Ovis aries: one gene and its partner. The protein of the gene in region 2 interacts with the protein of the main gene of each other region in a biochemical or structural test. Links are inferred from orthologs where the notes say so. Each region holds a gene or a part of one and is shown on either strand. Other genes may lie near its edges.

Region 1 (4,511 bases), on a different chromosome or scaffold from region 2:
ATTTCCTCTGAATTGCATTTTTTTTGTTTGACATTTTGTTTTATTTTACTTTACAATACTGTATTGGTTTTGCCATACATCAACATGAACCCGGCACGGGTGTACATGAGTTCCCAGTCCTGAACCCCTCCTCCCACCTCCCTCCCCATACCATCTCTCTGGGTCATCCCAGTGCACCAGCCCCACGCATCCTGTATCCTGCATCGAACCTAGACTGGCAATTTTAAGAGAAAGGATGTAGACTTCAAGCAGGCTACTGCTTTCTCCTTAGCCACAATATCATGAAGATAACTTTATGTAAAAAATAGAACACTGAATTTAAAAATATTTTCCATGTAACATTAGCTTAATGAATTGTGAACATTCAGCTTAGTATTCTTCATCTAGTTTCAACTAGAATCAATCAGTGAGCAGATCCATTCTTTACCCCAGTTTTATCTAGTTTCAAGAGTCAACTACTAAAGGATCACGAACGCCCTCCTCTGTCAAGAGGTGGTTCCATTTCAAGCTATGCACCAAGCCTGAAACAAGCTGATATTCAAGAGGGGGAGGTTTAACTCCAGTGTAAATTGAATTTTTTTTTTTAAGAAATAAGAAGGTATGCCACACAGCATGCTTAAGTGATATTCTAGTATTTTTGTGATGACGCTGGGTGCTTCTTTCTGAACTTTATAAATCCTCTCCATTTTTACTAGGGTTGGAAGTTATTCCCCCTCTCTCTTCCACTGTTTTCCCAGGCTCGCAGTTATAGAACATTTGCACAATGGATTTCGCACGGTCATCCTACCCAGAAAATGGCACTCTCTAACCATCTCCAAACTTTTCTCCGTGGATATAGTCTAAAAGCAAGCAGCTGACTTTTAGGACGTGAGGCAAACAGAATTTTTTTTTTTTTTTTTTTTGAGACAGTAATCGAATGGTTTTGCTGGTGGCCGCTAGCGTGGCACGGAAAGCCTTTTGCAAACAATAGTCACCTTATTTGTTCTCATGCTAGCATTTATGAGACTTCTCAAGGCTGCCGGAGATGCTGAGCTTTCCCCTGGCACTCACAGCAATCTCCTGCTCCCCTAAAATTAAACCTCCGCCTGACGTTTGAACCGCGCTTTCGTTTACAAAACGCTCTCACGAGCCTCCTCTGATTTGACGGCGACTGTGAAACGAGCGTTCTTGCCGTGGTGCCTATTTTACACGTAAGGAAAGGATCCTGTCCACAGACCTAGTCCTTAGGGCCGCCCTCACCCGGGTGGAGTACGCAGCTCCAGGCAGAGAGGGGAGCAGGTGTGACGCCCACGGCCGCAGCCTCTCACCTGGCCGGCAGGGCGTGCCACGGCCTCCACTCAGCTACCTGGGACGTAGGCCCCGCGACGGCGGCCTCTCGGGGTCTCCGGGGCCCCCCTCAGTCCGCGCTCGGCCCCACACCTCAAAGTGCCTCACGCTCTCCTCCTCGGGCTCACCGTCCGATCTCGCCGGACAGCGTCCAGAAGGGCCTGGAAACCCCGCGGCCGCCACAGCCTTACAGGGTTTGGGACCCACACTCCTTGGCGACAGCGGCGGCAGTCACCAAAAGGTCGGGGGGTCCCGAGAAAGGAAACCCGAACCCCAGTCAAGCAGCTGACATTTCCCCAGTTAGCCGGAGCACCGCCCACTTCCGCTTCCCCGCCTACCCTGTGGGTCGTCCGGTCCCGCAGCCGCGCGGGGTTGTGGGTATCTCGAAGGCGGCAAAGCTGCAAGGAAAGGAAGTAGTGGCGAGGCAGCCGGACTACCAGGCTGGGCAGAAACTACAATTCCCAGCAGGCAGCGGGGCCGCAGACGACGGCTGCGGAGGAGAGCCGGCTGGCTGGAGAATTCTGCGCGCGCTGCTGGGATGGAACGTTGATAGAGTTCGCGGGTTTCGCTGCAGCAAGCCGGGGCCGCACGCAGTGCGCCGCACGCAGTGCGCCGCCGCGCGCCAAAGCGGGAATTCGGGGGGCGGGCACCTCTGCAATTAATGCACGCATTTAAAACTCCCGAACCTGCGGACGCCATGCACAGGTAAACCGATTGCAGAAGGAGACAGAACATGAATGGACCGTCTTAATTCTTTTAGGCCGCGTGTTTTGCTACTTGGCTAATATTGTTAGTAATGCTGTAATGTGAATGGCTGCTTAGCCTCTTTGGGAAAACGTGGATGGGTGGATGCTTTAGTGCGGTGGTCAGCGTGGATGTTATTTGTCTTCCCTTATTGGGCTTTCCTGCTGCTGTTTTCAATCAGTGTGTGATTGCCCTGCCTCTTTCCTTGTATGTTCCCTCCACTTTTAAGAAATTCTTGAGGCCTTCTGCATGATCGGAAATCGAAAAGCCTTTTCGATGTGTTCGGTTATTTTCTCTTTTATTCTTGGGGACTCGCCGCCGGCACGTAAAAATGCAGTTCAGTTAACTGCTGTGAAAGCTTTCTGCGGTGCATAGCTTGCAGCTTCCTTTAGGCCTGTCTGGGAATTATTTACGGGCGTGTTTTTGAAAGGAACGTGGGGCTATTGTGCGTTTCTGCAGGAAACACCTCCAGGAGATACCCGACCAGAGTAGCAACGTTACCACCAGTTTCACGTGGGGATGGGATTCTAGCAAGACTTCTGAACTGCTTTCAGGCATGGGGGTCTCCGCCCTGGAGAAGGAGGAGGTGGACAGTGAGAACATCCCCCAGGAACTGCTTTCAAACCTGGGCCACCCACAGAGTCCCCCACGAAAACGGCTGAAAAGCAAAGGAAATGACAAGGACTTTGTGATTGTCCGCAGACCTAAGCTAAACCGAGAGAACTTTCCAGGTAAGGTTTGAGGGTAAAATACAAGCCCAGTCAATGGTGGATTAAATTGACCGGTTATTTTGTCGGTAGACCTTTGTTTAGGGTTATTTAGCATGGGGTGGGGCCCTTCTAAAGAAATTGTAATTTAAATTTATTTATTTATTTTTGTCCGTGCTGGGTCTTCCTTGTTGCCCCGGCTTTTCTCCAGTTGCAGAGACTTCTCTTTGGGGGAGCATGGGCTCTAGGACGCAGGGGCTTCGGTAGTTGGAGCACGTGGACTCGGCAGTTGCGGGTTCCAGGCTTTAGAACACAGCCTCAATTACTGTGGCGCTGGGGGCTCAGTTGCTCTGCTGCGTGCGGGATCTCTTCCCAGATCAGGGATCGAACCAGTGACTGCTGCATTGGCAGGCAGATTCTTTACCTCTGAGCCACCAGGGAAGGCCAGATAGGGTCCTTTTAAAACTGCCCAATTCCTAAGTTATTTTCCAAAGAAACCAGACCACTGGTTGTGCTTACAGAAATGGTGGTATGTGTGTGTCTTCAGAGACAGAACTGACTTGTAACCGGTGAAAAGACATTCCTTCCTTTTTCTTTAGGAGGGACTCTGCCTGGTTAAGGGCCAGCTCAATACCTCTGACAAATAGAAACAAAGCAATGATCCATAGAATTCTTTTTGTTTATATTTGGCTGCTCTGTAGCCGCTGTTGAGCCTTTTACCATAATCACTTTAGTTATTTATCAAAGGACTGCTGAAGTGAATGTTGAGCTAAGGGGGAGAGACTCATCCTTACAGATCCATTCCCAAGAGGAATTCTTTATGCTGTCTCCATCACTCACTGTGTTATCTGTTCAGTTTCCCCAACCCCATAACCTAAAGGTCAGTCAGATTCCCACCATCCCCCCCCAAAATCCAACCAATCATTGAATCTTTCCCTCTTGTCTCCTAAATATTTCTCATATTTAGGAAGGGACTCATAATTCAGAGCCTTATCCTCCCCAGATCCATCCCCCAGAGCTAGAGTGGACTGATTGAAATGTAGAACTCCACTACGTCATTCCCCTCTAAATAGCTCTCTGTTTCCAGGCTTCTCAAGCTGATTTATAACTGCCTCCCACCGTGGATCAGAGCTCCAGGAATACTCAGAACCATAGGGTAAACATAGTGCGTTGACCTGGGGTTATCAGTTTTTCTTACTGGCAAGCCATGTAAAACATTAATTCAGCAAATATTTGCTGAGCACATTGCGTCTGCTAGGCATTGTTCTAAGTACTGGGGATATAGCAGTGAGCACAATAAAAGCATTTCTACCCTCATGGAGCTTCTCTTCTAGAAAGAGGATGCAGTATGCACAAATCTGGTGTGTAGTATGTTAGAATAAGTGCTATGGCTAAAAACAAAAATAGAACACGCCTAGAGGGACAAGAGATCCTGGGATGGGAAGCTGGTTTGCAGGATATTGAAGAAGCCTCACTTGGACAGTGAGCTGTAAGCAAAGGCATAAAGGAGATGAAGGAATGTGCCATGCAAATATCTTGGAGAAAAGAGCCCCAAGCAGAAGGAGCAGGTAGTGCAAAGGCCCTGGAGCAGGAGAATGATGTGTTTGTTCAAGGAACAGCAAGGAAGCCATATTCCAAGAGTAGAACAGCAGAGGGGAGAATAGTGAGAACTGGGCTAGAGGTACAGTTGAGCAGAGTTGCTATGTAACCTTTGAAAAGGATACACTGGTGTCT
Region 2 (4,511 bases):
ACGAACATAGTAAAAGAAAAAGACTTGAAACCACACTGTGAATGAGGGAAGTCAGATCAAGGAGAAGTTCCAAGAAGTCTGTGAGACCAGGGATCTAGAGAAAGGGGGCACCGGGGTACAATGTAGATATTTCTGCACATCACAGACTATCCTCACTCCATCTCTAACATGTACCAGAAACCTGGTTGATTCTCCTGGGGGACGATCTAGAATCATCCCGCTGAATATCTCACCACAAGAACAAGAGAATCATAAGATGCCCCATTCTTTCTCCACTCCCAATCCTCCCTCCTCAGAGCAGCACGAGACATTCCAGACCCTCTCACCACCCCCACCCCTTGCTCCCGTCACGAGGCCCCAATCCCCAGAGCCCTTTCATGTGATGCTCAGCTGAGACCCCTCTGCCTATCTCTTCCAGCCCCAGAACAAAAGCCTGGGCTGTGTTCACCCATGCCCATCCCAAAGAGGGGATGAGGTGCCTCTTTACCCTTCTATCCAAACACCACATTCGCTTTCTCCTCACTTTAAATACCCTATCCCAAGTGCTTAAGACAAAGCCTAAATGAGTTTCCACTCATTTTACTACCTTGGCACCCATGTTCCAGCTCACTATTCAGAGCATCTCAAAATTAGGGCCACAGAGACATACTGTTCTCTCACCCGTCCAGGTAGATGGGGTTGTTTTCAGGTTCAGTCCCAAGTGCCTGAACACATATGCACCCAAATCTTCATGTGGGGAGGGAGCTCAGTTGCCCATGTCCTCACTAAATCAAATGGATGAGAAACACCTGAAGCACTGCTGCTATCTTCCACTTTAGGGAGAGAAAAACCAGAGCAGGTGTGTAACCCTAAACTCACACTTGTTCATGTCCACACATCCCACACTCACCTTCTGTGGCCCCTACAGCCAGAAGAACACCCATCAGAGCCACATGGAGAAGGTATTTTCTCAGCACCAGATCCATCCTGTTCTTCCTTCCAGCAACCAAAGACTCTGGGGCATTGGACAAACCCCTGTATAAGAAGGGGGTGCTTATTTGCATAGCCCTTCCTCCCCTCCCTCCAGGCAAATCCTGGGAGGAGCAGAAGGATCTGAGAGACAGAACAGAGGAGGGATCCTGGTCCCTGGACATCATGCTACTCATTGACAGTTTCTGGCTTCACAGGGTCAGTCTCATCTTAAAGTACTCCATCTCCCCTCGCGGGGAAAAAATGACTGAAGGGCAGCTACAAAACATAACACGTACCGGACGCACAGGGTTCATCATTGGAGAGTGGATCAATCTATTGTGAGTCAAACCAGGAACCTCTCAAAATAACTGTAGAAGCAGCGACCCTGGGTCCAAAAACAGACAGTATTGGGGTAGGCTGAGAGAAGTGGGACAACGACTCTTCGGAGCCCTAGGAAACCCTTACAATGAGATTTCCAGTTTCCTGCTTTCAGAGGAGGCTCCAGGGCGAGGTGGAATTTAATACATATTTTCCTTAGGGTGGTGAAAACGGTGATTAGAGATCAGGAAATCCCTATAGACTCAGGACACAGAGAGAAAACTCGATCCCAAATCAGATACTTGGAAAAAGGTGTTCAGCCTCCCCATCCAGATAAAAATTTATCCTTAATACTCCTCGGAACCAAAGTTACTCGGGGTGGGGTCGTTTGCAGCGAGGGACACAGGGCTGGCCCCGCCCTCTCTGACGTAGACCAATAGGAAGATCTGAGGGAGGAGCCAGGGAAACGCGGGAAGGAGAGGCGGGGCTTCTGGTGGCGGTAGGGAACTAGAGGGGGGAGGCGGCAATATTGTTTCAAGTTGGACAAATTGACAAGAGCGAGAGATACACTACGTTCCATCCCGACCTCGGGTCGCGGTGCTGGGCCCTGTTTCCCTCCTCGGCCCCCGAGAGCTGGGTGCCGTTTTTTGCAGGTTCCCAGGCCCCAGCTCCAGGGCCGGGCTGACCCGACTCGCTAGCGCTTCATGGAGAACTTCCAAAAAGTGGAAAAGATCGGAGAGGGCACGTACGGAGTTGTGTACAAAGCCAAAAACAAGTTGACGGGAGAAGTGGTGGCGCTTAAAAAAATCCGCCTGGACACGTGAGTGGCCTCTGTACCCGGGAGTCCTGACTCGGGAGCTCCTTGAGTGCCCCCCACCCCCACCGCAACAGGCGGGTAGCCTTCCAGGGACCGGAAGGTAGCAGGGAGGGAAGTCTTTTGAAGTGGAGAGGTGGGTTGAAGGACGAGTAGAGGGTTTCCCGGTGGAGACTATAGGATAGTGTAGAATCCATGGGAAATTTCCTCCCCAGAGGCGGGCGATGTCCCCAAATGTACAGTCAGAAAGTGTCAGGAAGAGGAAGGAGCCTTTTGAGATGGGATCCAGGACTCCCCGACGAGGAGATGGGTTTTGTGATAAGTGGTAAAGAGCACCCTTATAAATGACTAGACCAGCCCTCAGTGCCCCAACCCCACCCGCATCTTAGAATTCTCTCTTTCAAAAGAATGGCAGTTGAACCTTACTGGCACCTCTAGAGAGGCTGGGTGTTGTTACTTCCACACACACACACTTTTCCCCCTTTTAACTTCACCAAGAGGCTTTGCTAACCCAGCCCTGGGCAAAGAAGATATGATGATCTTAATGGGTCTAAAAAGACACTCCTGTCCATCCATGATTTAACCACTGAAGCACCCTTTCTCTCACTTAATTAGGGGATGCTGGGTTGGTGGGGGCTGTGGGTGGGGTGGGGGGAATGACTGTACTGCTGAGGGAAAAGAAATATTTGTAACCACATTCCCATCTCTGCTTTCTCAACTTCTCCAAGTGAGACAGAGGGTGTACCCAGTACTGCCATACGAGAGATCTCTCTGCTTAAGGAGCTTAATCACCCTAATATTGTCAAGTAAGTATGTATCTGGGAGGTGGGAGGTGCTCTGACAGTAAAGGAGAATGTCTTCTGTTTGTATTGTCTGGGCCTTTCTCTCCCTCACGTGTATTCCTGGACCTCCCCCTTCCCTAGGCTGCTGGATGTCATTCACACAGAAAACAAACTCTACCTTGTTTTTGAGTTTCTGCACCAGGATCTCAAGAAATTCATGGATGCCTCTGCACTCACTGGCATTCCTCTTCCGCTCATAAAGGTACTCCTTCTCATCAACTCCTCCCCAACATGGGCATGTTTTGGGAGTCCGGACTGAAAGCAGGCAATCCGGACTGAGTGTTGATTTATCTTGGTTTCCTTCCCAGCCCTCACCCCCCTACACACACACACGCACACACCTTTTCTTGTGGCTCTTTCACTGCTCATTATGCTTTTAACCCTAGGGCTGGGCAGGGGAATCAAAGAAGTTGAAACTCTAGTAAGTCAACTTAGCAGCTCAGGTGGAAGGTTCTTGAGATGAAACTCGGATAAATGGGACTGGGGGGTACTTGGTAGATGCCTCCAGAAAGCCCTTCCACCTGTTTGGTGGGAGAAATAGCCAGTGAGTCTCTGTTGTCCATTTTTCTGGGTTCCTTACTCCGGAAGCTACTTTCGATCAACCAACAAACATCCAACACACATTTATTGAACACTTTCAATGTGCTGGTCCACGCTATGGAACATAAATGCAAAACTGAATGAGACCTGATCTTATCCTCAATGGGTTGACAGTCCAACTGGAGAAATAGCTTGAAAACATAATTACAATTTAACTAGTAAAGGCTTTAGTAGAACTTTGGAGTTACAGAGGAGACCCTAATCTGCTCACGGTGGTGGAAAAACAGAGTCTTTTCTTTCCCCTTGTCAGAGCTACTTGTTCCAGCTGCTCCAGGGCCTAGCTTTCTGCCACTCTCATCGGGTCCTGCACCGAGACCTTAAACCTCAGAATCTGCTTATCAACGCAGATGGGTCCATCAAGCTAGCAGACTTCGGACTAGCCAGAGCTTTTGGGGTCCCTGTTCGTACTTATACCCACGAGGTGAGTCCTCCTCTGCATGTCTTCTCTGAACTTCCTGGGAGGTGTTAACAAGGACATTCATAGAGTTTTTAGTAACGATCTGGCCAGCAGTTTCTCACTAGATGGAAAGTATTTCTGACACCACAAGAGGTCTTAGAGTATGCACAGAATTCATATATTGATAGATACCGAGCCAGGAGACAGGTGGAAGGCATGAAATTTAAAATTATGACCATTTGCCTCAAGTTTTCCAAGAAGGTTGCAAATTGAGGGTTCAGAATATATGTTCCCCAGAACCATGGATTAGGCTAACTCTGGGCTAAGAAGTTGTACCCAGTTATTTTACTTAGGGGCAATGAGAGTAAAGGGAAGGATGGAGGGATAGAAGTTGCTTGTGAAGAAATTGAGTTAGCAGAATAGTGTTTAGAAACTGACGTGTGGATATCTTCATGTCCTGTACTCTTTTCCTCAGGTGGTGACTCTGTGGTACCGAGCACCGGAAATCCTTCTGGGCTGCAAATACTACTCCACAGCAGTGGACATATGGAGCCTCGGTTGCATCTTTGCTGAGATGGTATGGAGGCAT

What was found.
Region 1: the proteins of CDK2 (region 2) and SKP2 form a complex in vitro, tested with the Homo sapiens proteins (3 studies listed by BioGRID, with this or other methods). The link is inferred for Ovis aries from reciprocal best matches to the Homo sapiens genes CDK2 and SKP2.

Annotation. Positions count from the first base shown.
Region 1 is NC_056069.1:38,233,746-38,238,256, reverse strand, and holds the start of SKP2 (S-phase kinase-associated protein 2), read left to right. Parts: upstream 1-1,807; 5' UTR 1,808-1,987; coding exon 1,988-2,031; exon of another isoform or gene 2,032-2,115; intron 2,116-2,529; coding exon 2,530-2,801; intron 2,802-4,511. UniProt on the Homo sapiens protein: Substrate recognition component of a SCF (SKP1-CUL1-F-box protein) E3 ubiquitin-protein ligase complex which mediates the ubiquitination and subsequent proteasomal degradation of target proteins involved in cell cycle progression, signal transduction and transcription.
Region 2 is NC_056056.1:163,556,834-163,561,344, reverse strand, and holds the start of CDK2 (cyclin-dependent kinase 2), read left to right. Parts: upstream 1-1,852; 5' UTR 1,853-1,973; coding exon 1,974-2,089; intron 2,090-2,811; coding exon 2,812-2,889; intron 2,890-3,006; coding exon 3,007-3,127; intron 3,128-3,775; coding exon 3,776-3,946; intron 3,947-4,397; coding exon 4,398-4,499; intron 4,500-4,511. Other genes in the region: melanocyte protein PMEL, read right to left, coding at 890-965. UniProt on the Homo sapiens protein: Serine/threonine-protein kinase involved in the control of the cell cycle; essential for meiosis, but dispensable for mitosis. Phosphorylates CABLES1, CTNNB1, CDK2AP2, ERCC6, NBN, USP37, p53/TP53, NPM1, CDK7, RB1, BRCA2, MYC, NPAT, EZH2.